3 linked regions of the Schizosaccharomyces pombe genome follow. Changing the gene in region 1 together with any one later gene gives a genetic interaction. Each region holds a gene or a part of one and is shown in the gene's direction. Other genes may lie near its edges.

Evidence for each region. A genetic interaction does not mean that the proteins touch.
Region 2: mutations in ask1 (region 1) and mad2 together harm fitness more than expected from each alone (negative genetic interaction), as found in Schizosaccharomyces pombe (3 studies listed by BioGRID, with this or other methods).
Region 3: mutations in ask1 (region 1) and pfd5 together harm fitness more than expected from each alone (negative genetic interaction), as found in Schizosaccharomyces pombe (3 studies listed by BioGRID, with this or other methods).

What each region holds. Positions count from the first base shown.
Region 1 is NC_003423.3:1,559,999-1,568,587, reverse strand, and holds ask1 (DASH complex subunit Ask1), read left to right. Parts: upstream 1-4,936; 5' UTR 4,937-5,023; coding exon 5,024-5,040; intron 5,041-5,095; coding exon 5,096-5,243; intron 5,244-5,321; coding exon 5,322-6,080; 3' UTR 6,081-6,262; downstream 6,263-8,589. Other genes in the region: septation protein Uds1, read right to left, coding at 1-2,185; protein meu25, read right to left, coding at 2,818-4,686; protein trafficking protein Pga2, read left to right, coding at 6,553-6,951; app1 (actin cortical patch protein), read left to right, coding at 7,466-8,589. UniProt on the Schizosaccharomyces pombe protein: Component of the DASH complex that connects microtubules with kinetochores and couples microtubule depolymerisation to chromosome movement; it is involved in retrieving kinetochores to the spindle poles before their re-orientation on the spindle in early mitosis and allows microtubule depolymerization to pull chromosomes apart and resist detachment during anaphase.
Region 2 is NC_003423.3:3,292,452-3,298,076, forward strand, and holds mad2 (mitotic spindle checkpoint protein Mad2), read left to right. Parts: upstream 1-1,823; coding exon 1,824-1,893; intron 1,894-1,934; coding exon 1,935-2,081; intron 2,082-2,127; coding exon 2,128-2,522; 3' UTR 2,523-2,744; downstream 2,745-5,625. Other genes in the region: nrl1 (NRDE-2 family protein), read left to right, coding at 1-421, 460-1,370, 1,415-1,581; sterol transfer protein Ltc1, read left to right, coding at 3,544-5,625. UniProt on the Schizosaccharomyces pombe protein: Feedback control that prevents cells with incompletely assembled spindles from leaving mitosis. It interacts with the anaphase promoting complex/cyclosome (APC/C) thereby inhibiting APC/C-dependent proteolysis, a step required for exit from mitosis.
Region 3 is NC_003423.3:4,025,479-4,032,024, forward strand, and holds pfd5 (prefoldin subunit 5), read left to right. Parts: upstream 1-1,927; 5' UTR 1,928-1,939; coding exon 1,940-2,126; exon of another isoform or gene 2,127-2,180; coding exon 2,181-2,290; exon of another isoform or gene 2,291-2,333; coding exon 2,334-2,439; exon of another isoform or gene 2,440-2,504; coding exon 2,505-2,566; 3' UTR 2,567-2,638; coding exon of another isoform or gene 2,639-2,827; 3' UTR 2,828-2,868; coding exon of another isoform or gene 2,869-3,612; 3' UTR 3,613-3,665; downstream 3,666-6,546. Other genes in the region: SPOM_SPBC215.01 (GTPase-activating protein), read left to right, coding at 1-1,598; COP9/signalosome complex subunit Csn1, read right to left, coding at 2,639-2,827, 2,869-3,612, 3,687-3,961, 4,021-4,081; heterotrimeric G protein gamma subunit Git11, read left to right, coding at 5,077-5,132, 5,222-5,384. UniProt on the Schizosaccharomyces pombe protein: Binds specifically to cytosolic chaperonin (c-CPN) and transfers target proteins to it. Binds to nascent polypeptide chain and promotes folding in an environment in which there are many competing pathways for nonnative proteins.

The sequences.
Region 1 (8,589 bases):
TTATGACTTCTTCATCAGTTGTATCAGGGACAACGACGTCAGCACCCGTTTGAACAGGAAGGCTACAGTCAACTGGAAAGTTTTCTGAATTTATAGTTAATTCAGCTTGCGCTGGTTTCTCGCTACCGTCAAGTAGGACATCACTGCTCAAGCTCTCCTTCCTCAAACGCGGTTCATTATCAGGGGTGCTAAGACTATTCCCTTGTTCATTTTTGTTAGTTTCAGACCCATCTGTAGAAGTCGAATTTTCAAATTCTTCGTTAATGTTTTGCTTAGGTGCTGGTTGAGTCTCGGAGATGGTTTTCCTGTCATCATCGGAGGAATAGGAAGGACTAGAAATTTCAGAAATTTCATCCTCTAACTGCAAATTTTGTTGAGTGTATGGTCCCATTAATGGCATACCAAAATCAAATGAATTCTCCAAATTGAGGCTTGCAAATATATTCTCCATTTGCAATTGCTTTAGCGTAAGGTTGCTTACAGTAGCAGAGTTCTTCTCCTGAACTTCTTTTTCCATTTCCAAAGTTGTAACGCGAGATTGTAATAACTCATTTTCTCTTGTCAAAGCCTCTAATCTGTTCTGCAATGCATTGTTCTGCTTTATTGCATAATCGGAATCGGGATCATCAGGCTGGGAATTCATAGCCTTTACAACTTCAAGCTCAGCACGTAAGGCAACCATCTCGTCGTTCAAATTTCTAACCTGGTCTTTCGCATAATGATGTGCCTTTATTTGTTGCTCAAATTGCAGTTTGACATGAGAAATCTGAGACAACAGATCCTTTTCTATAAGCTTGGCAGCTTTTTTCTCATTTTCCAATTGCTGGATATTAGACTCCAATTGCAACAAGGACTGCTGTTGCTGATACTTTTCAGAAAGATATACTGAACACTGGGCACAAAGTGTATTCGCCTTATCTTTACTCAGGTTGGAGGTATCCGAATGGTCATCTGCTAGAGATGAATCATACGTACAAGGCATTGTTTCTTTAGGTTTATCGTTATTTTCAGCGGCCTCAGAAAACCCTTCCCTATGAAGGCGAGCCATATGTTTACTCTGCTCTTCAATGATATCTTGAAGCTCCTTAAGCTTTTTCGTATTTTCATCTCGGACACTTGCTAGAAGTTCATTGCTTGAAGCAAGCTCTTTCTTTTGTGTTTGGTATAATGACAATAGATGGTGCAGAAGAAAGCAAAATGATTCAATGTCAAAATCAGATTTCAAATGTTTATCGAGTTCATCATCAGGAAGTGCATTACTCTTCTCTGGCGTATCATTGTCGCCGCGAAACAGCTCAGTAAGTAACCGCCAAAAGTTCACAATAGCGCGAGGAGCAATATCTTTCGCATCAGCATCTTCCTCCAACTTTTTCTCGTATATTTGTTTCAAAATAAGCTCTAAGTGACGAACTTGCTCGAGTAGCCGTTCACCAGCGTTCATTTGTACTGCATCTAGGACAGATGGTTCACGAATTGAATTACCCATTGATTGAGCAATTTCCAGTATACGGCTCATACGCTCTACAAGCTGCTCAATTTCCTCATTGTTCATTATTTCTTCATCTCGAAATCCAGTTGCGCTCTCATCAGCGGTGATGGCAGAAACCGGTGAAGATACCTTGCTACAGCTACCTGGTTTAAGCTCAGCAATGCACACAGCAACCATATGCTTCAATAGGTGCATATAAAATTCTGCAAGTTTCCTTTCAATAAGCCATATCTTAGAAGAAAGTTCTCTAACTCTACGAGAACATTGTTCGTAATGCTCTATCGTACTTTGTTTATGTTTTCCTTTTTTCTCCTTAGCTTGGGCAACCATCAAATTCTTAGCAGCTTCTCTAATTTTGGCTTCGACAGCCAGTTTTTTTATAGAAACACCAAGTAATCCCTGCAGGTTTTTTATTTTCTGTTTTATTTCTTCAACGTCTTTTCCGGAAAGGTACACCCAACCTTTTGCATCTTTAACAGCAGACGCAACTAAAAGGGTTCGCATTTCCTCCTCACCTGTAGATATAGACACATCTTCAGAACTGCTAGCCTTTCCTACATACACGAAAGTGGATAAAAATGGATTGACTGGTCGTGTATTAATTAATATGCTTGAAGAAGGTGGTTCAGGATTCCCATATTTCTCAATTAACTCAGGTTCATATTCATCTGTACTTAAACATCCATGAAACCCCATTTTTGGGTAAAATGGGTAAATGTAAATGTTGAATCTTTTGTTTGTTTACAGCCGCATACGCTTTATTTTGTATGAATTTCGTTTCCATGACAACTAACATTGAAATGTAAATAAACAAAGCACCTAAGCCAACCTATTATCACGTTGCAATGATCGGTCGCTAAGCATTTCATTCTCCAGATTATACGACTATTAAAGTCCCTTTGCAATTTTAGGTTTGTGTATCGGTGGGCTCTGCTGTTTGTTATTTATCGACGTTGAACCGGTATTTTGATCAACATTCATTATGGTGTTTGCAAATAATCCACATTACTTTTTATATGTTAAAAGATTATTTAGAGCATACTTTAACGGTCCTACACTTACATTTATTACCCTATGTGACGAATTCGACCTACACATTTTTACTTAGACCACCTCAAAAAAAGTGATAATATTTTCAAGTATTAATAAGTCAATATTTAGTATATTCGTAAAAACTTTTGTCAAGTTCGTATAGGTTTGTAAATAATGAATGTGCAGATGAAACAAAATTTCGCTTAAAAGGTACACTACCATCCTAGAAGAGATTCCTAGGAACCTCAACACTGAATGGTCGATAACATGTGATAGAAAATTATGTGACAGTACGTTTAAACTTGGTAAAGTAAAGCCTCGTTATCATCAAATGCGACTTTGTTCAAAAACCCTTTTCGTTGTACAGTGCCCAATTCTGGAATGTGCTCAACAGACTTTGCATAATCTAATAAACTATACTGTTTATCGAGATGAACCAAATGTGGAAATAAATAGCCTACAATTTCTAGGTGATGCATGATAAAAAGCCAGTTTTGAGCTGTACGACTAGGTGCTGTGTTTAACAACTTAATAGTGTTTAGGTCATAAGTTGTTAATTCACGATCCACAGACAAAAACGTTTCAGCAGTTGAAGTTTGAACGCAAACAAGGTCAGGGAAACGTTGTACGCAGTGGAAACTAGATATTGGCATAACCAGCAACTTCGGATGACCGATTTTTGAAAAAATAACTTGCTTCTTCCAAAGGGCAAGGTTGGGGTCTAACTCTAAACTAGCAGAAAACTCCGCTAAGTACTTCCAGAGTAGATCTTGTTGTTGATGAGGAAATGAATCGAAATGATCTAGTTCACAAAGGAATTTGCATGGGTTGCTGAGAAGCTCGTTTGTATAATTAGTTTTTTCCTCTTCAGACCAAAAGAAATCAGCTTCCCTTGTCTTTGCTAAGGAGCTTAGCATGATATACCGCTGCTTATGTGCTTCTTTGGGTAAGATCAATGAAATAAGTTTTGTGCTGAAGTAGGATAATTCCCTAATGCTAATGGAATTTTGTTCTTCCTTTTCATTTTCATTTTCAGGATCGTTCAGTTGAATGAAAGATTGCCCAGTATGTTCACTGTCGAAACATAGTAGCAATCGGAGTAAACGTTCTTCTCTACAGCAACGAAAATCCCAACGTGACGAGACCCCTTTAAATTGAAGGACACTAAGTTCCTTTTCTGTATGTTCATAATTGCGTAATTGCAGGATATCGCTTTCATCAAACATAAAGCAATACTCCGCTCTTAACGTGTGTCCAATAACTAGGTTTTCATCATTAGCCAGCAACCCGTATTCATCCAAAATTTGCTTTCTTTCAAATTCATTACCCAGAGAATAGTATGGAGTTCCCAAATCAGTCATAAAGGTCAAGTTGTCATGAGGTTCCGTTCCTTCATTTTCCTCAATACTCTCTAAAGTCGGCACTTTCTTTTGACATTTACTCTTCTTGAACTCTAGAAGGTATTGAGAATATCCGGCGGGATCATCATTTTGTTCTTTTTCGGAAATTTCAACTGTTTCTACTTTTTGATTTGACAATTCTCCATTGTCAACATAAACAGATTCTGTTTCAACAGGATCACTATCAGGAGATAGGCGCTCTTTTCTATTTTCTTCATCGACTGATGAAATGGCTCGAAGGGCCAGAACACGCGGTCCATCTGGAAGACGTTTCTCATGTTTAACGACAAAGCCAGAGTTGGGAGATCCCATCAAAAACTTCCTAACAGAAATCAAAAATTTAGGATCATATCCATCAGTATTTGTTTCCAAGTCGGTTAATACCAAGTTGCTATTGACCTCCTCAGAGCTTCCAATAACCTTCAAAAGTGGAACATATGATGGAGAAGGCGCTAGTGTCTGTAATGAATCCTGCGAGTCATCATGCTCATTAGAAAATCCCAAGTCGGTTGCTTTAACCCCTAATTTATGAAAAATTTTCTTGGCAAGTGCTCCCATTTCTTGCTGTATATTTTCTAAAGATATTTTGCTTTTAGTTGAGTCAATCGTTTCTTTTTCAGAGACATTGTCAGAAAACTCCTGCTGGACTTCCTTTTCAATGTTAGTTTCATAGATGGGATGCATAGTCGTAGTATTATCAGGGTTCGTCAACTCCATATTTACTATACTATCTGAAACAATATTCTCTCCAAAGATACTACTCATTTTGGATCTTGAGGATGCTGGCAAAAGACAAGTTGAATGTTTGTTTACTATGGATCATTTGATCATTGCAGTCTGCATTTAGTCCACTGAGGAAAGTAAACAAAACTTTAAAATTCATATTTATTACTCAACAATGATTGTATTAGTATTATCTTGAACTTACAAAAATCTCACTGTATATTGCCAATTTAACTTGTTTACTTTACGAAACATCGCTAATAATGGACGCTAGTATACCTACACCTCAGTTGCAGTTCGCCATAAATTTCACCATTGAGAGTTTCTATACTAAGAAATAATATTTTCAAAGTTTTTATGAGTATTAGATGTCATTCTTATGAACAATTTGGAACAGTATGCAGTAAACTTGTCGCGACTGTAGATAAACATTCTCTAACAAAAGAATTAGATTAGAACGATTGGAACAATCGATTACTCTAGCACTTTACGAAATTGATGCAAATTTTTCTAAATGTCATCGAACAGTGACTACCAAAATCTTGCCTATCGTGGAAAAATACGCAAAAAATTGTAACACTATATGGGACTCTTCAAAAGTATGTTCAATGGCAACTGCCACTCATGATTCAGCTTGTAATTTGTATTATTTTAAGAATTAAGCTAACAGAAAACAGTTTTGGAAGCAGTTTTTTGAAGCAAGTGCCAATGTTTCACTTTCGGGTGTAGAGGAACCTGTTCCAGTAGAATCCAATCCAAGCGATCAAGATGTTATGTCTAATTCTACAGAGGCGGACCTACAGCTGCACACAAAGAATGAACATTTGGAAAAGAGGCATTCTTTTGTCGGAAAATCTGATTTTCCCGATGCAGCTGTACAAGGAGATAATACAAAAAACGAGGATTTTGTACAGTCCACTCCTAAGAAGATGGATGTCTCCTTAGAGGATATTTCGTTAGATGATGCAGCTTTGACCCCCATCCCGGCAAGGATGCAGACTCCGCTAAGAAAACCAGAAAATAATCCTCATACAGGTCGTAGTGCCCTTCTGCATCGCGTTTTAGATACAAATTGGCAAGTACAAGTGACTCCACGTGAGCCTAAGAATTTGCAATCTCAAGAAGTAATGGATATTGATTCTTCTCCTTTTGTATCGCCTTCTCCCATATCAATGAAAATGGACATGCCTTCACTTAACGATAGAAACTCTTCGCATGCTCTTTCTTTATTTGCAGAATTTGAGCATGAAAGCTATGATAGCATTAACCCAAGTGGAATGTCTCCACCTAAAACTATCCAATTCAGCCCGCATACCATGGGGGTGGGTTCTTCTCAGCAAGCCAACGAGCGAAGCCTGTCTTTGCAGAGGAAATTAGAAACCTTGAATGATTCTAATGATAGTTTTGTCAAAGAAGAAGATAGTTGGGAACTCTGATAAAGCACTGCTGAAGTTATCACCTTCGTTTCGCCTTTAGTAGTGAACCTTACTTTCGCATTTTTTCTATTTATTTTCTAAGCACATATGTCTACTTCATAAAATCCCACCTTATATTTATGTTATATAATTTTTTATTTACTGTACGTTCTATTTAATTTGGAAAATTCTTCTTTTAAGAGAATCATAAGTCACGGTATAAATACTGTAAACCAAGTAAAATTTGTATGAAAATAATTTTAAAATAAACTAAGAAAGCAAATAACTATAAAATTTTTAAATAAATTAGTATTATAGCCTAATTAATAAATCTTTTTACAGCATATCATTGAGAATATACGTTAAGACGAATAACGAGGTTTTAAAAATTCTAAAAAAGTCTAAAGAATTTTAGTGACTTGGTTAATAATAGTTTGCCTGGTTGAGCAGACAGGTGAACTTAGTATCCACCACTCTTTTTTGTGCAAGGAAAATGGGGTTTGACGTTGCAGGCTATTTACAATCATATTCATTGAAGGACTGGATTCGAATTATCGTATATGTTGGAGGATATATGTTAATCCGGCCATATTTGATGAAGTTGGGAGCCAAGATACAGGAGAGAGAACATAGAAAATCTTTATTAGAAGGCGAAGTAGATGGTACTTTAGATCCGGAAATGACGCATGGCACGAAGCCCAAAGAACATGGAGAATTTGACACGGATGATGAGGAAGAAGAAGAAAATCCTGATGCCGAATTCCGTTGGGGTTATTCAGCACGCCGCCGTATTCGCAAACAACGTGAAGAATACTTTAAGAATCAAGACAAATCTCCTCTTGATGCTTACGCTGATGATGATGAAGACATCGAAGAGCACCTTGAGGATTAATTCTAGTTGTGAGATAATATTCATTACTCCAAGCACTTTAGAAAACTTGTGTCATTTAGTTTGTTAATCATTGTTTTAATTTCTTTGTGAAAATTTGATATCCTTTTCTCTTGAAACCGTGACTGCATGGATGAAAGCAAAAGCTAATTAATTGAATGTAGGATTAATAATGCAATTTGAGAGTGCATTCTTTTCCTACGAGATCAACGAAAGTCCTTTGATTGTTTCTCCTTTTTCTTGCATTTTTAAGTCATAATATCTTTTCGTGAGCCAAGCTTTAATCAATCCCCTGTTAGGTTTAATTTCAGCGTTTAGATCAATTTATTTTTCTTTCCCACTCATTCCAGTATTTTGAGTTGAAATATTACGTATTCTAAATAATCCTTAAATGCTCTAACAAAATTTAAGTATTTGCGGTAATATTACGATAAACGCTATTAACGCATGCATATGGGTTCAAATTTGCTTATTTTGAGCTTGACATGTTACGTTTCGGGGTGGGCTCTTACCGTCCATGTTTCGATCATTTGGACGTTTGTTTAGGGGCTCTGAAGAGAGCCCTACTATCAATGATTTGACTTCAATAACCATTTATCCTCAATGTTTCATTAGTACTGGTAAAGAGTACGGTAGTGAACCCAAGCACATATCAGTTCATGTTCGCGGTTGGGTTTACGAGAACCCTGATCTCAATAATCTTGGTCGTAAAGATCGTTTAATGTTGAATTTACTTCGTAGATATGTCGGTCTGCCTCCAAAATCCAAAGAAACGGGAACATATCCTGAAAAGGATGACGAAAACACAAATTTGCAGGTTGTAGTAGACACGAAAGCTCAATTGAACGTGAACGTGAATGATGGAAAGCCTAATGATATTGAATTATCATCAACCTCTAAAACTGAGAATGATCCACCTTTGTCCCTGCATACGACTCCCGACGACTTACAGGGAAATGGCGTGAATGTACCTAACCCTTCATTGTCTGCCTCAAGGAGTTGGTATCAATCGGGGTATGGAATATCAGGATTTTTTAATCGAATTATGACTCCTTCGGTAAATTCTCAATACATTTCTACTATAGGTTTGGCCAAATGTGAGGAATACTTTGAGGAGCGCTCTTTAGCGTCTCTGCAACGAGGCTTAAAAGATGAGTTTGTTTTGGTAAAAATATATGCTACTGATAAGAATTTTGAGCAGAAAGTTGTTGCTGAATTTAACGTTGCTACGAATGTTGAAGGATATTTTATTATAGATGAAGTGATCCCGTTTTACACCACTAAAAATAACAAGTTTTCTGTGGAAGCTGTTCTTCTACAATCTACCTCGGAGGATAAAGTGATCAAAGCTTATATGAGCGAAGTACCCGTGTTAGATCGAAACGGTATTTCCATTATTTCAGACATTGATGACACTGTGAAAAATACAAGAGTTATTGAAGGGCCTAGGAAAGTAGGAGAGACCACCCTTTTAGCTCCTTTAAATACACAGACTATCGAGGGCGTTTCCGACTGGTTTCGTGTTATGACAAATCTCAACGCTACTGTACACTTTGTTAGTAATTCTCCTTGGCAACTATGGCCCACATTGTCCAAATTTTTTACCAACGATAACATGCCTTATATATCTTCCATTTATCT
Region 2 (5,625 bases), 1.7 Mb from region 1:
AAACGATTGCTTTCGCATTCAAGTATAAATTTTTTGCATTTTGCGGAGTACCTCTTTTTCCACCGGGGATTTCAACAAACTCATGGTTTGCTTCTTATGACAAAGGAATTTACAACTTGCTTTTTGGCATGGCTTCCAGTGAATCCTTTATAAATGGACAGATAGCTGAGAAAAACAGCTTTCAATTTCCCTGTAGTATACTACCTTCATACATTGATCTCTTCATTTCTCTTATGTCGTTTAAAAATTTAAATTTCAAGTTATTTGATTACAACCTTGCACATCATGTGAAGGAATCAATGGAGCGTGCTTTTCATCAACTAGTATTTTCGGCGGACGATGAGTATTTAGCGAGCGTTTATTTAATTTATTTAAAGCAAATGGAGACGAAGAACCTAAGTGAGGAGAAACCCCAAGTGAAGTAAGTAGATGTTTTTGTTTCCTTCTAACCAAATTCAGTAAAATTGTAAAGAAGATTCTCAAAAAATACGATAGTTCAGTGTCTGTTTGGAACACTTACGCTCAATTGGAACACTTAAGTGGTGCTTTTACTATGGCTGAAACAATTTTTAAAACAATTTTTCAGATCCATGCTTCCCAATTGCGCTACATTGATAATTTAAATGTATACAAAAACTGGGCTTTTAGAAAGCTACTTATTAATGATACTGAAGGATGCTTAGTTATTATAAAATGCCTGTTGTTTCCTGGTGATAAATCTTTAACTAGCGATAATAATCGAGCATCCGAAATGCTATTTGGTATGTTGGAAAATTGCGCCAGCAAGGAAGAATTGCTGTATGTTTGTCTTATCTATACTATATGGACACACTGTACTGATATGGATTCAATGGATAATTGTGTGTATTTATGCATTCAAAAATTCGAAAGCTATGGATGGGGGGCTTCTTCAGAAATGGAATGCTATTTTTCTTATTGTTCATTGATTTTTTATTATCAAGCTACCACTCTTCAATTCTATAATCTACCCAAGGTTCGACCTTTTTTTGAAAAGGGAGTTACACTTTTCAGTGCAAATACGGCTATATGGGAAGTTTATATATTTTTTGAATCTAAGTTGAGACAAGAGAACAAACCAAAAATTAGGGCTATGAAAATTTTAAAATCTGCTTCAAATGCTGTTGTTACAGCTTGTTGGTACCTTTTTTATGTTGCCGTTCAACAGATTGAGCCAACAAACTCACAGTACTTTTTAAGGACTTTGGATATCACTCTAAATAATGAAAAGTTGAAATCCGTCGCCAAGTTTTGGAGAATATATTTAAAGATTCTCAATTTGCGATTAAATGGTACTGAATGGGTTTCGGCGATTACCACCAAAGCATTGGCTTCCTGCCCCTGTAATAAAGGTAAGTTAATTAAAAACATAGAACATTTCACTGACTAAGTTTAGGGGTTTGTATGGACGTTATAGACTTGCTCTTGAAAAAAGAGATGGAGAGTCGGGCTATTATTTGCTATATAATCATGTTGGAAAAAGGCTTTAGAGTCCATAACGAAATAAGGAGAGATGTTTTAAAGTTTGAAAGAGGAGATGAACTTATTTTGTCCCCAAACTGACATTATTACGATCAATGACTTTTAATGATAGAGATAGTGAAATGAGTTTAAAATGACAGATTAGTTACTTTCAAGTTTGCGTAAATGCTTTAGTAGTCTTATTATTAAAGTTTTCACTTTTGTTTGTTAAATGCTTATATGGTTGCTTTTACGTTGAAAGGGTACCTCTAAGCAACCATCATGGCAGTACCTACTCAATTACTACACAACCTATTGCTTATTACAAAAATCTACAACACAACATGTCTAGCGTTCCCATAAGAACGAATTTTTCACTGAAAGGTTCTTCCAAACTTGTTAGCGAATTTTTTGGTTTGTAAATGTTTCAAATATGCCATGCTAACTTAATGAAGAATATGCGGTGAACTCAATCCTTTTTCAACGAGGAATTTACCCAGCAGAAGACTTCAAAGTTGTTCGGAAATATGGATTAAATATGCTTGTCAGTGTAGATGAAGAGGTCAAGACTTACATTCGAAAAATTGTATCTCAGTTACACAGTGAGTTGTTGTTCTATTATCACTTTTGGAATTAACAAATTTTTAGAATGGATGTTTGCAAAAAAAATTCAAAAACTGATTTTGGTAATTACTAGTAAATGTTCAGGTGAAGATTTAGAGCGGTGGCAGTTTAATGTGGAGATGGTTGACACAGCTGATCAATTTCAGAACATTGGCAACAAAGAAGATGAACTGCGAGTACAAAAAGAAATTCAAGCTCTAATTCGTCAAATCACTGCTACAGTGACCTTTTTGCCTCAACTAGAAGAACAGTGTACGTTTAACGTTTTGGTATACGCTGATAAAGACAGCGAAGTTCCAACAGATTGGGTAGACAGTGACCCTAGGATTTTAAGAGATGCTGAACAAGTTCAATTACGAAGTTTTAGTACGAGTATGCACAAAATTGATTGTCAAGTTGCATATCGAGTGAATCCTTAGTTGTTTTTTTTGGCATGATCCTTACCTATTAGATGAGATAATAGAAAACAAAGCTTTGATGTGTTCTATAAATCTCAAAATTCCGGCCATATTGTTTAACTATAATTCGGTGAATCCTATGTTTGTTTTAATGTCCAATATTTATAATTTTGTGACGCATCTCTATTCTATCCATTTATTTAATAATACTTTTGCATTCTTTAAAATATAATCATCTTCTCTTATTCATTAAACAAAATACACTATAGCAACAGCTCGCAATGATGTTTTCATTGAAACTTTGCGGCAGTAAATCAACATTTTAAACTGATGGTAGCATTTGCGAGGTAAGATTCTATATGCCAAGGTAACGACATTCATCTCTTGAGGTAGGTTTCTGACTACAAAATGAACACAGTAGCAAATAATTTAACAGAATTGAACAATGTGTATATCATTTTAAATATCAAAGTTAGAAATTCTAATTTAGTCAAGACGTGTTCCTCAATTTTTTTAAGACTGTTGAGAAGCTGGAATATTATTGTTAACGGAGTTTTCCGTATTTAATAACATTATCACTAATAAACATTAACTCGCGTTATCTATTAATAACGATTCAGTATGTATGACATCTATTCATCAGTTACTTAGCCTTTACTAGTACTGAGTGTGAATCATCGTTTCCTCAGAGAATACCAAGACTTGGACGGTTCCTCTTTTCTCTTTGCTTCTTGAATTTTGGGGCTATCTAGTTTTTTTTTGAAATTTCTTAAAGATTTATTCTTAAAAGCTTGAGGATTTCTGCCTATAATTGCAAGAAAGAATCAGGTTACCACTAAACTAAAATCCACATTCGGCTAGTGAATCTGGAGAGTTGATTGTGGGGACTTTTGTTTTATCCACTTAAATTACGCTTATAGAAAAGCTACGAGCGTTCCCTAGAAAACCTACGCATATGAGCAGTTATCAGATCGCACTGTTTATTCATCGATTTAATACGTAGCTTCTTTTTGGTTAAGATCTGACAATTACCATACTTTAGATGAAAGAAGAAAACGGTTTTGCTGGTTTCTTGAACACTGCGGTAAATAGGTTAAGCGGCGTTTTGAATGATACTGCTCCAACTAAATCCCAAAGCTTGAAAAATGGAGTCAATAACGAAGGAAATAGAGGTTTTAGCTTATTCCGTAACCCAAGGTTTATGAGTGATGAAAAGCTTTCTTCAGAGGCGAGTAGCCATTCGACTTTAGGTCAACAACAGGCCAGAGATGGTAGGCAGAGTCCATCTAAAGAGGCTCCATTCGGTGAAGGCGAATTGAAACTGGAAAATTTTGAAAACCAGGAGAACGAAGCAGATGAGGCAGAGAATGAAGAGACAAGTTATTCAGAGCAAAACCATACAGAGAATACTGAAGAAATAGCTGAAGAATCCAGACCACTTGAGCGTACTCATTCAGGGTCAAATCACCATGAAGCATCTTCAACTGGTCACCTTAATTTACCTCCATTAGAAAACACCTTGAGTCAAGGCTCTGCTATTACAGCACCTTCTCGGAAAGTCTCTATAACTTCTTCAAATGGTGTTTCTGCCCGTCTTTCTGGTTATGCGTTTGCGAATAGTAAAAGAAACAGAGATTTCCATAGAATTTTTAAAGTACTCCCACCCGAAGATCATTTGATTGATGACTACGGTTGCGCATTACAACGTGATATTTTCTTACACGGAAGGATGTACCTTTCTGAATCGCATATATGTTTTAATTCCAGCATCTTTGGTTGGGTCACCAATATTGTTATACCAGTTACAGAAATTGTTTCAGTTGAGAAAAAATCAACCGCTGTTGTATTTCCTAACGCTATTCAAATTACAACATTGCATGCCCGGTATATTTTTGCTTCATTTATTTCTAGAGACACTACTTATCAGTTAATTATTGCAATTTGGAAAAATACACACCCTTTTTTAACCACGCTAGCCAATGGCCATGGTGTTATGGATGCTTCTGGGAATCATCACAGTGGTTCTTCAAACCAGTCAATAAACGCAGACTCTTCCGCAGGGTCTGAAGGTGTAGATGAAGGAACCAGTACTGAAGCTAATGATGAATCAAGTGAGGATGATGATGAAGATAATAACACTGATGAAGCAAATGAAGATGCACAGTCCAATGTTTCTGATGAATCACCAAAAGGTGAAGGCTCTTCCCATTCAGACAACGTCGTGTTATCTGACGGTAACTCTGTTAAAAAGATGAATGAAGATGGGGCAGACACTTCACTACTATCTGTTTCCGAGGTGACTTCACACCCTCCAACAGAGTGGACAGGATCGCCATTAGCGCATGTATTATGTTCTGATGTTGTTAACCTTTCAGTGTCCACCGTATTTAATTTACTATGCGGCTCTGATACCACATGGATAATTAACTTTTTTAAATCAGAAAAACTTACAGAAATTAAAATTGGAAAATGGGAAAAAATTGATGATAAATGGAATCGTAAGGTACAATACATCAAACCCGTTGCCCCCCCTTACCGACAAACTAGTTGCTACATTACCGACACAATACAACACCTTGACATAAACAATTATATTGAAATTTTATCTACTACCTCAACACCTGATGTTCCCAGTGGTACTTCATTTGTCGTAAAGACCTTATATGCACTTAGCTGGGCTCATTCTTCAAAAACGAAATTAAATATAAGCTATTCAGTGGAATGGAGCAAAAGTTCGTGGCTTAAAGGTCCAATAGAGAAGGGCGCCCAAGAGGGACAAGCATCTTACGTTAAAGATCTTCTGACTGCTTTTGAGAACTATAAGGTCTCTCCTAAGGGAAGGAGGAAGAAAATAACTAAACATACCAAGAAAAAGAATAAGCATGCGTCTGAAACGTCTGTTGCTCCTGAAAAAGTAGACAATTCTTCAATCGAGCAATCATCATCTTTTCTCACAAAATTGTATACCTTTCCCTTTACCATAATTACCTGGCTAATGCATCCTACACACTTACTTCTGGTGGTTATGTTTAGTATGCTTGTATTGCAATGGTGGTACATGCAACAAATATTGCATGCTGAGCTTCCCTCAACATCTTCTCGTTCAGATTCATCCAGGGACTTA
Region 3 (6,546 bases), 2.5 Mb from region 1:
GTTATTGTCAGGCAATGAATATTGTTGCAGCTGCTCTTTTAATTCATTGCACCGAGGAACAAACCTTTTTTCTGATGCATAAGATTTGTGAAGATTACATTCCGGGTTATTACTCAAAGACGATGTACGGCACTCTAATTGATCAACAAGTTTACGAAAGTTTGGTTCAACGCTCAATGCCTAACTTACATGCGCATTTTGTAAGCAAAGACATTCAACTTAGCATCATTTCTTTGCCGTGGTTTTTGTCGCTTTTCCTTTGCACAATGCCTTTACCGTATGCGTTTAGGTTGTTAGACTTTTTCTTTCTAGAGGGTCCAAGGGTTTTGTTTCAAATTGGAATGGCTATCCTATATGACAACGAAGCTGAAATTATGAAGGCTACAGAAGACACTATGTTGATATCAATTTTAAAAAATTATTTTTCATCATTGGGAGATAAGGCTTATAAAGATGCAACAGATAAACGCGTTGCCTCTATCACGAAGTTTCAACTTTTATTGGTAACTGCTTTCAAGAAGTTTAGCCATATAACACACTCTTTAATTGAAGATGAAAGGAAAAAACATTACGAAGGAGTTATGAATTCTATTGAGTCATTTGCAAAGAGAACACAAATTAGGAGTTTACAAAATTACGGTACATTAACACGTACGGATTTAAGTAATATTTACGACCGTTATCATGAAGTATTGTCGTCCAAACATCGAGTTGGATTAGGCAGCTCTACTGATACACGGTTGGAATTTGACGAATTTTGTATATTTTTAGCAGGAGTTACTGAATGGGCGAAAGGTTTGGATGCAGCGGCTATCAATAATTCATCATCCTTTCTTCGTCATTTGTTTTTACGATTTGACAAAAGCATGACTGGATCATTATCTTTACAGGATTTGGTGTCCGGTATTGCAGAATTGAAATTTAGGGATGTAATGCGCAATATATCTTTTATATTCGAGCTTTATGACTTTAATGGAGATGGTTTTATGGATAAACCAGACGTTTTGAAGGTTTCAGAAGCTATTCTTTGGTTAACTAGGTTTATGGGTGATGAGTATCTATCCGCAGTTAGCGAATTCATACAACGCTGCTTTCATTTTGCTGATGAAGCTAGTCCTGATGGTCATTCTGATACGTTGATTGATATAAGCGACCATATGAGCAGTACTGGTTCTGAAAACCGTTCTGTTGGTGCTAATAGTGATATCAAAGTTAGTCTTCCCACTTTTAGAATGGTTGTTTTATCAATTGGTTTATTAGAGCAATTATTTTCTGGAGGACTCGCCGACTCTATCGTTTTAGCTCCAGTCCAAGAAAAATCATCAACCACCGGAGGTTTGAGAGGTTTATTGGATTCTTTGGTAATTGATACCAATAGGATTGGTAAAACATTTCGTGGGCATAAACCCGCTTCTCGTCCAAGTACCGCAAATGGTACTAGCAATCAAAATACTACTTCTGAAATTACCACATCGGAAACTACGGCGACTGAAAAAACACCTTCAAATTCTTCAGATACCGAAGATGATGTTGGTGATGTTGTAGAAAACGATAAAGATTTGCTTCAATTTGATCCATACAAAAAAAATGATGCTTAAAAAGCTATACTTAAACTTCTAATCAATGGCACTATAATGCATCCTAACTAGTATTATTTTCCCAAATTTTGTTAATCTTCATGCTCATAATTTATTAATTATTGAAAAATCTATCATCTATATTGATATATTCTATAGCGTCCCTCTGCTCAATAACATATTCGATTCTACTTTCACTGTTTGGTATAATTCTGAATAACTGTTTAAAACAAATATTGTTTCAACCAACTAACTGATTGTATATTGAAATGGATTACCATGTACCTGTAATTTAATGCAGTGCAGCGTTGGAATTTCTACCAGTTCCTTCGTATCTTGACTGTTCTAATAGAAGCGTAATAATGGCTGAAGGTAATAAAGCGGTCGATTTGACTTCTCTCAGCTTGGAGCAATTATCAGAAGTTATAAAACAGTTAGATTCTGAGCTAGAGTATCTATCGACCTCCTATGGACAACTAGGACGTGCTCAATTGAAATTTCGTGAATGCCTGGCAAACGTTAACGATGCTGTGCGGGCTGAGAACGATGGTATAGACAAACTGAAATTTTTTTTGCATATGTTTCACTAACTATTGTCAATAGGAAAGGAGGTTTTGGTACCTTTGACTTCAAGCTTGTATGTTCCTGGAAAGCTGAATTTAGGAAACAGTAAATTGTTGGTCGATATTGGGACTGGTTATTACGTTGAAAAGGTATTTTTAATATATAAGAGATTTTTAAACCTAACGACATTAGTCCGCTGGAGAAGCTACCGAATATTATAAAAGAAAATGTGAATATCTCGCCAGCAGTATCGAGAACCTCAACAATGCCATTGACGCAAAATCAGTTCAAATTAGAGGTATGAGCATTTACAGTACAGATCAATTTTTATCTTATTATCAACAATTTGCTAATTCTCTGTAGCCGTTCAAAACATTATGCAACAAAAGGCAACAGCTACAACAGCTGCAACTAAATCTTCATAAGCTAAATAATTAATGAAATTTCAAAAAAAGTAAGTAAAGGATTAACCAATTATATGATGTGCATGCTTTTTGTTAGTTCTGTGAATCTTCCGCGGTAATGTTCGTTTGAGCGATAACTGGAGCTTCGTCGTCAGTATTTTCAGTGTTCATCGCCGCCAATGTTTGTAAGTAAAGAGCCTTGCTGTAAAGCAAACTAGTTTGCGCGATATTTTTTATGTCCTCGAAGTTTTCAGGCTCTGAAGAAGGTTCGATATAAACACGCTTATAAAGTTAGACCAATATAGCAGATTTATTATACTTACCTTTTGAAGAGAGTCCACCTTGCCATTTAATTTTTTGGCTTCGATTATTTCTAATAAATTTTTCTCAATGAAGTTCTCATCAATATGAAAATCAACTGCAATTTTGCTGAACGGCAAAGCACTGTAAGGAATTAAATAGTCAAGAAGTGAACGCTCCCGAATAAGGGAAAATAAATTTGTCAATTGAGGAGCCAGATACATGTCTAAAGAATAGTCTTGAGCATTTTGCTGTAATGTATCAAGCAAAAGACTATATTTGCGATTACATTTCGCTTGCAAACAACGTCTCAGGGAAGGGTCTAAATCTGACAAAGCATTGAACTCTTCATTTCTTTCAAGCTCTTGAATCAGACGTTTATGATCCCAGCACGCTAGTGCACAAAGTGAGATATACACTGAAATGTCAGTTTTTGTAATAATACCATCAGAGGTATCAGTTTCAACTTTTAAAAAATGAGCCAGGGCCTCTTCGTAATCACCCAAGCAAAAGTTGGCCAATCCACAGTATGCATAAATAGGACTAGTTAGCTCCATGGCTGCACTAACAGTAGACTTGGCGCGAGACCCGAAGGCTAGTACATGAGAATAATTACCAATCCAAATAGAAATTCTCATTAACTCTAAGGATAAATGAGCAATTTGTCCAGCATTTGTACAATATTCGCGAACTTTGGCATATGATCTTAAAGCACTATCAAACTGGCCCACATCAGCAAAAAAAGAAGCTAAATCTAGTTGTGCCGCCTAAAGTTGTTAGAATTGTAACAAAGGATGTAATAAAAAGTCTGTGAAGCAAAAAGTTATCTTGTAGCTCATACTCTTATAGATTCTCGTATTAAGTTGTTTTTATAGGCTTTTAGTTCCCTTCTTAATTGTTCTAGATTTTGTTTCCTATGAAAAGTAACGCTTTCAACCCATTCTACGTCCAGCTGCTCGTTTTCGAAGCAATCTTGAAACTCCTCGAATAGAGACTGGTACAACTCTAGATTATATGTCTTTTCTTTCAATTCTTTAATGGCATAATGAACACAAAAACTTCTTAACGGCTTAGAATTACGGGCGACAAACAGCGCGCGAAATATTTTGGACCATACTATGAAACTGTGAATAAAAGAATGACTTGCAAAAATGCATCAATTGAAAAACTCTTACCACCATATTCATCCAGATATCTCTTTAATTCTTCCTGATTGACTAGTAGATTTAAGCTCATAATAGAAAACTCGTAACTAGTCGGAACACTGTAGGTTATAGAATTGGCCAACTGGTTATAGGCCAGTGACGAGTACCAGATGTATAAAAGCTATAATAAGATGGTGATTTTTTCAAGTCGAAGATGTATGTAGTTAATTAGTTCTACTTTACGGAAACGAGAAAAACATATCATATTGATTTTATTTCTTTCCCCAAATTTCCAAGCAAAATCGCATCTAAAGTTAGGATATGAGTTTACTATTAATATGAGATACCAAGATTAGAACCCCATGTATTCAATAATAAAAATAAAAAATATGAAAATTGTTGCAAATATCTTTTAACTATTCCCTTGAAACAATGCTCAACTCTAATTAAAGCATTTCCTAATTGAGATTTAAAAAATAAACGAACAAATCTATAGCCAAAGAATTGTTGAAGTCTAAATAAAAAATAATAAATTTTCTTTTAAAAAAAAAGGAAACTTAAGGTGGTTGAATTTACTAATCTACTTCGAGTTATAGGAAGTTTGGTTATGTAACTTCTTTACTTAGAAAATAAGACAACGATAGTAAAGAAATTTACGAGCAGAATTCATAATTTCGTTTTAAAAATCCAATCAACATAAAGTATCTACTTTGTCCTCCCAATGACAAAATCTTTGTATCTGTCACAAGTTTATTGTTTATATGTTTTCGCATTAACAATTATTTTGTTAAGAGAAGTGTAATATATGCGTATTCTACTTGGAAAGAACAAACTAAAGAGATAAAAAAATCCTGAAAGTGAAAGGCATTTGAGTAGTGTCAAATTTACAATTGGAAAACTGCTATTCTATTTTTTTTCCTCTTTTTATATTAGGGAATATAAGGTTAAACAACATAATCAAATAACGATACTTAGTGCGCTTAGAAGCACACCTACATATATGTATGATGAAATGGTCAGGCAAGGCTATAATTTTACTTAACAGGCATTACTTATTGAAATTGTAGTTGATCGGTCCTTAAACAAATGGAAACAGAGGCTTTATTGAATGAAAAAATATCGGTTCAACAAGCAAGACAGGAGTAAGTGTTTTTACAGCAAATTTCATGACGTGAAACAAAAAATGCTTGATTTGATCTCAAAGTTTGAAAAGTTGCTAACTGAACTTTAGATTTGCTAATTATGCAAATAATATACCGGAACCAATGATGGTATCGGTTGCTCCGCCTAAAGCAAATCCGTCAGTCAGTTCGAAGACAAAGCAGCAGCAGCATTTTAAGCCTGGTAAAGCGACGAAGGATAAGGCCACTACCAAATGCTGTACTATTTCCTAATGTTTTGTGGAACGTTGTTTAAGCATCTTACGTGCACTTCCTACCGTCTGTGCTCACCTAGTAATTAACATGAAAGGAGCATTTATTGTCTATTCCTATACCAATCATTAGGATGAGTGATTTATCAGATTGGTAAATTTGTTATTTATACTCTTTATTTTATTTCGTACTATTTCGATTTTACCATAATTATTCTTTTGGACCTTAGTTATCGGAATGGCAATTCGTCAAATAACCGACACAGTGGACCATTTTCTCCTAACTTAATAATTTTCTAATACTGATTCAATCGTTATTTATTCATATAAAATACAATTTTTTGACGAGACTTTCTCATTATCTGAATTTGTTATTCTTTGTTTTCTTCAAAGCAAACAAAACAGCGCTCAGGATAAAAGGTTATGTTCGGGGGATTGTTAACTATTCTATTTTTTTTTGGTTTATTTATATATTTAAAAATTCTAATCTCTTATAACACTTGAAGCTAATAGGATTTATATTTCCTTACTAGCAAATGAATGTAAACTAACTACAGGAAATTCATATGGCCGACTATAGTTGTTTACCTACCCATTTGGTTAATTTTTCCTTAAATATATTTTTTTTTTTTTTTTTTTTTTTTTAGTTTTGGCTTGAATTTTAGTTTACATCAATTCAATAAACATATTCATATCGCAAACCAACAGGTGTGATTAATTCCTAAGGGTCGACAAATAGGCGTTATATGTTTTCTATTTTATTTTTTTTATATGAAAGGAGGAATTTTTAGTATGGACATTTACTTGTTTGTATACTAAACTATTCAAATCTTCAATAATAAAAAGAGCTTATATAATTAGTTGTATATATAAAATTACCTGTGTTACCAGGTAAGCAAGAAGGTCGGGTAGCATAGTTGGTTATTGCGCACGACTGTTAATCGTGAGGTCGAGGGTTCGAGTCCCTCCCTGACCGTATTTTTTTGCATCATGAGCATCTTATACAAAGGATAGACAAACGCACATGGAGTAGTATGTAAAAGCTAAAGTTCGAATTTTGTTGTTGTTTTTGAAATCCATGTCATCATTTTACGGGCGGTTGAATCGCTTTAGGTGTTTACATCGAATTTTGTCAGTGTGCATATGCGTTGTAAATTTGTCAGAAGGTTGTATGATCCGCATAC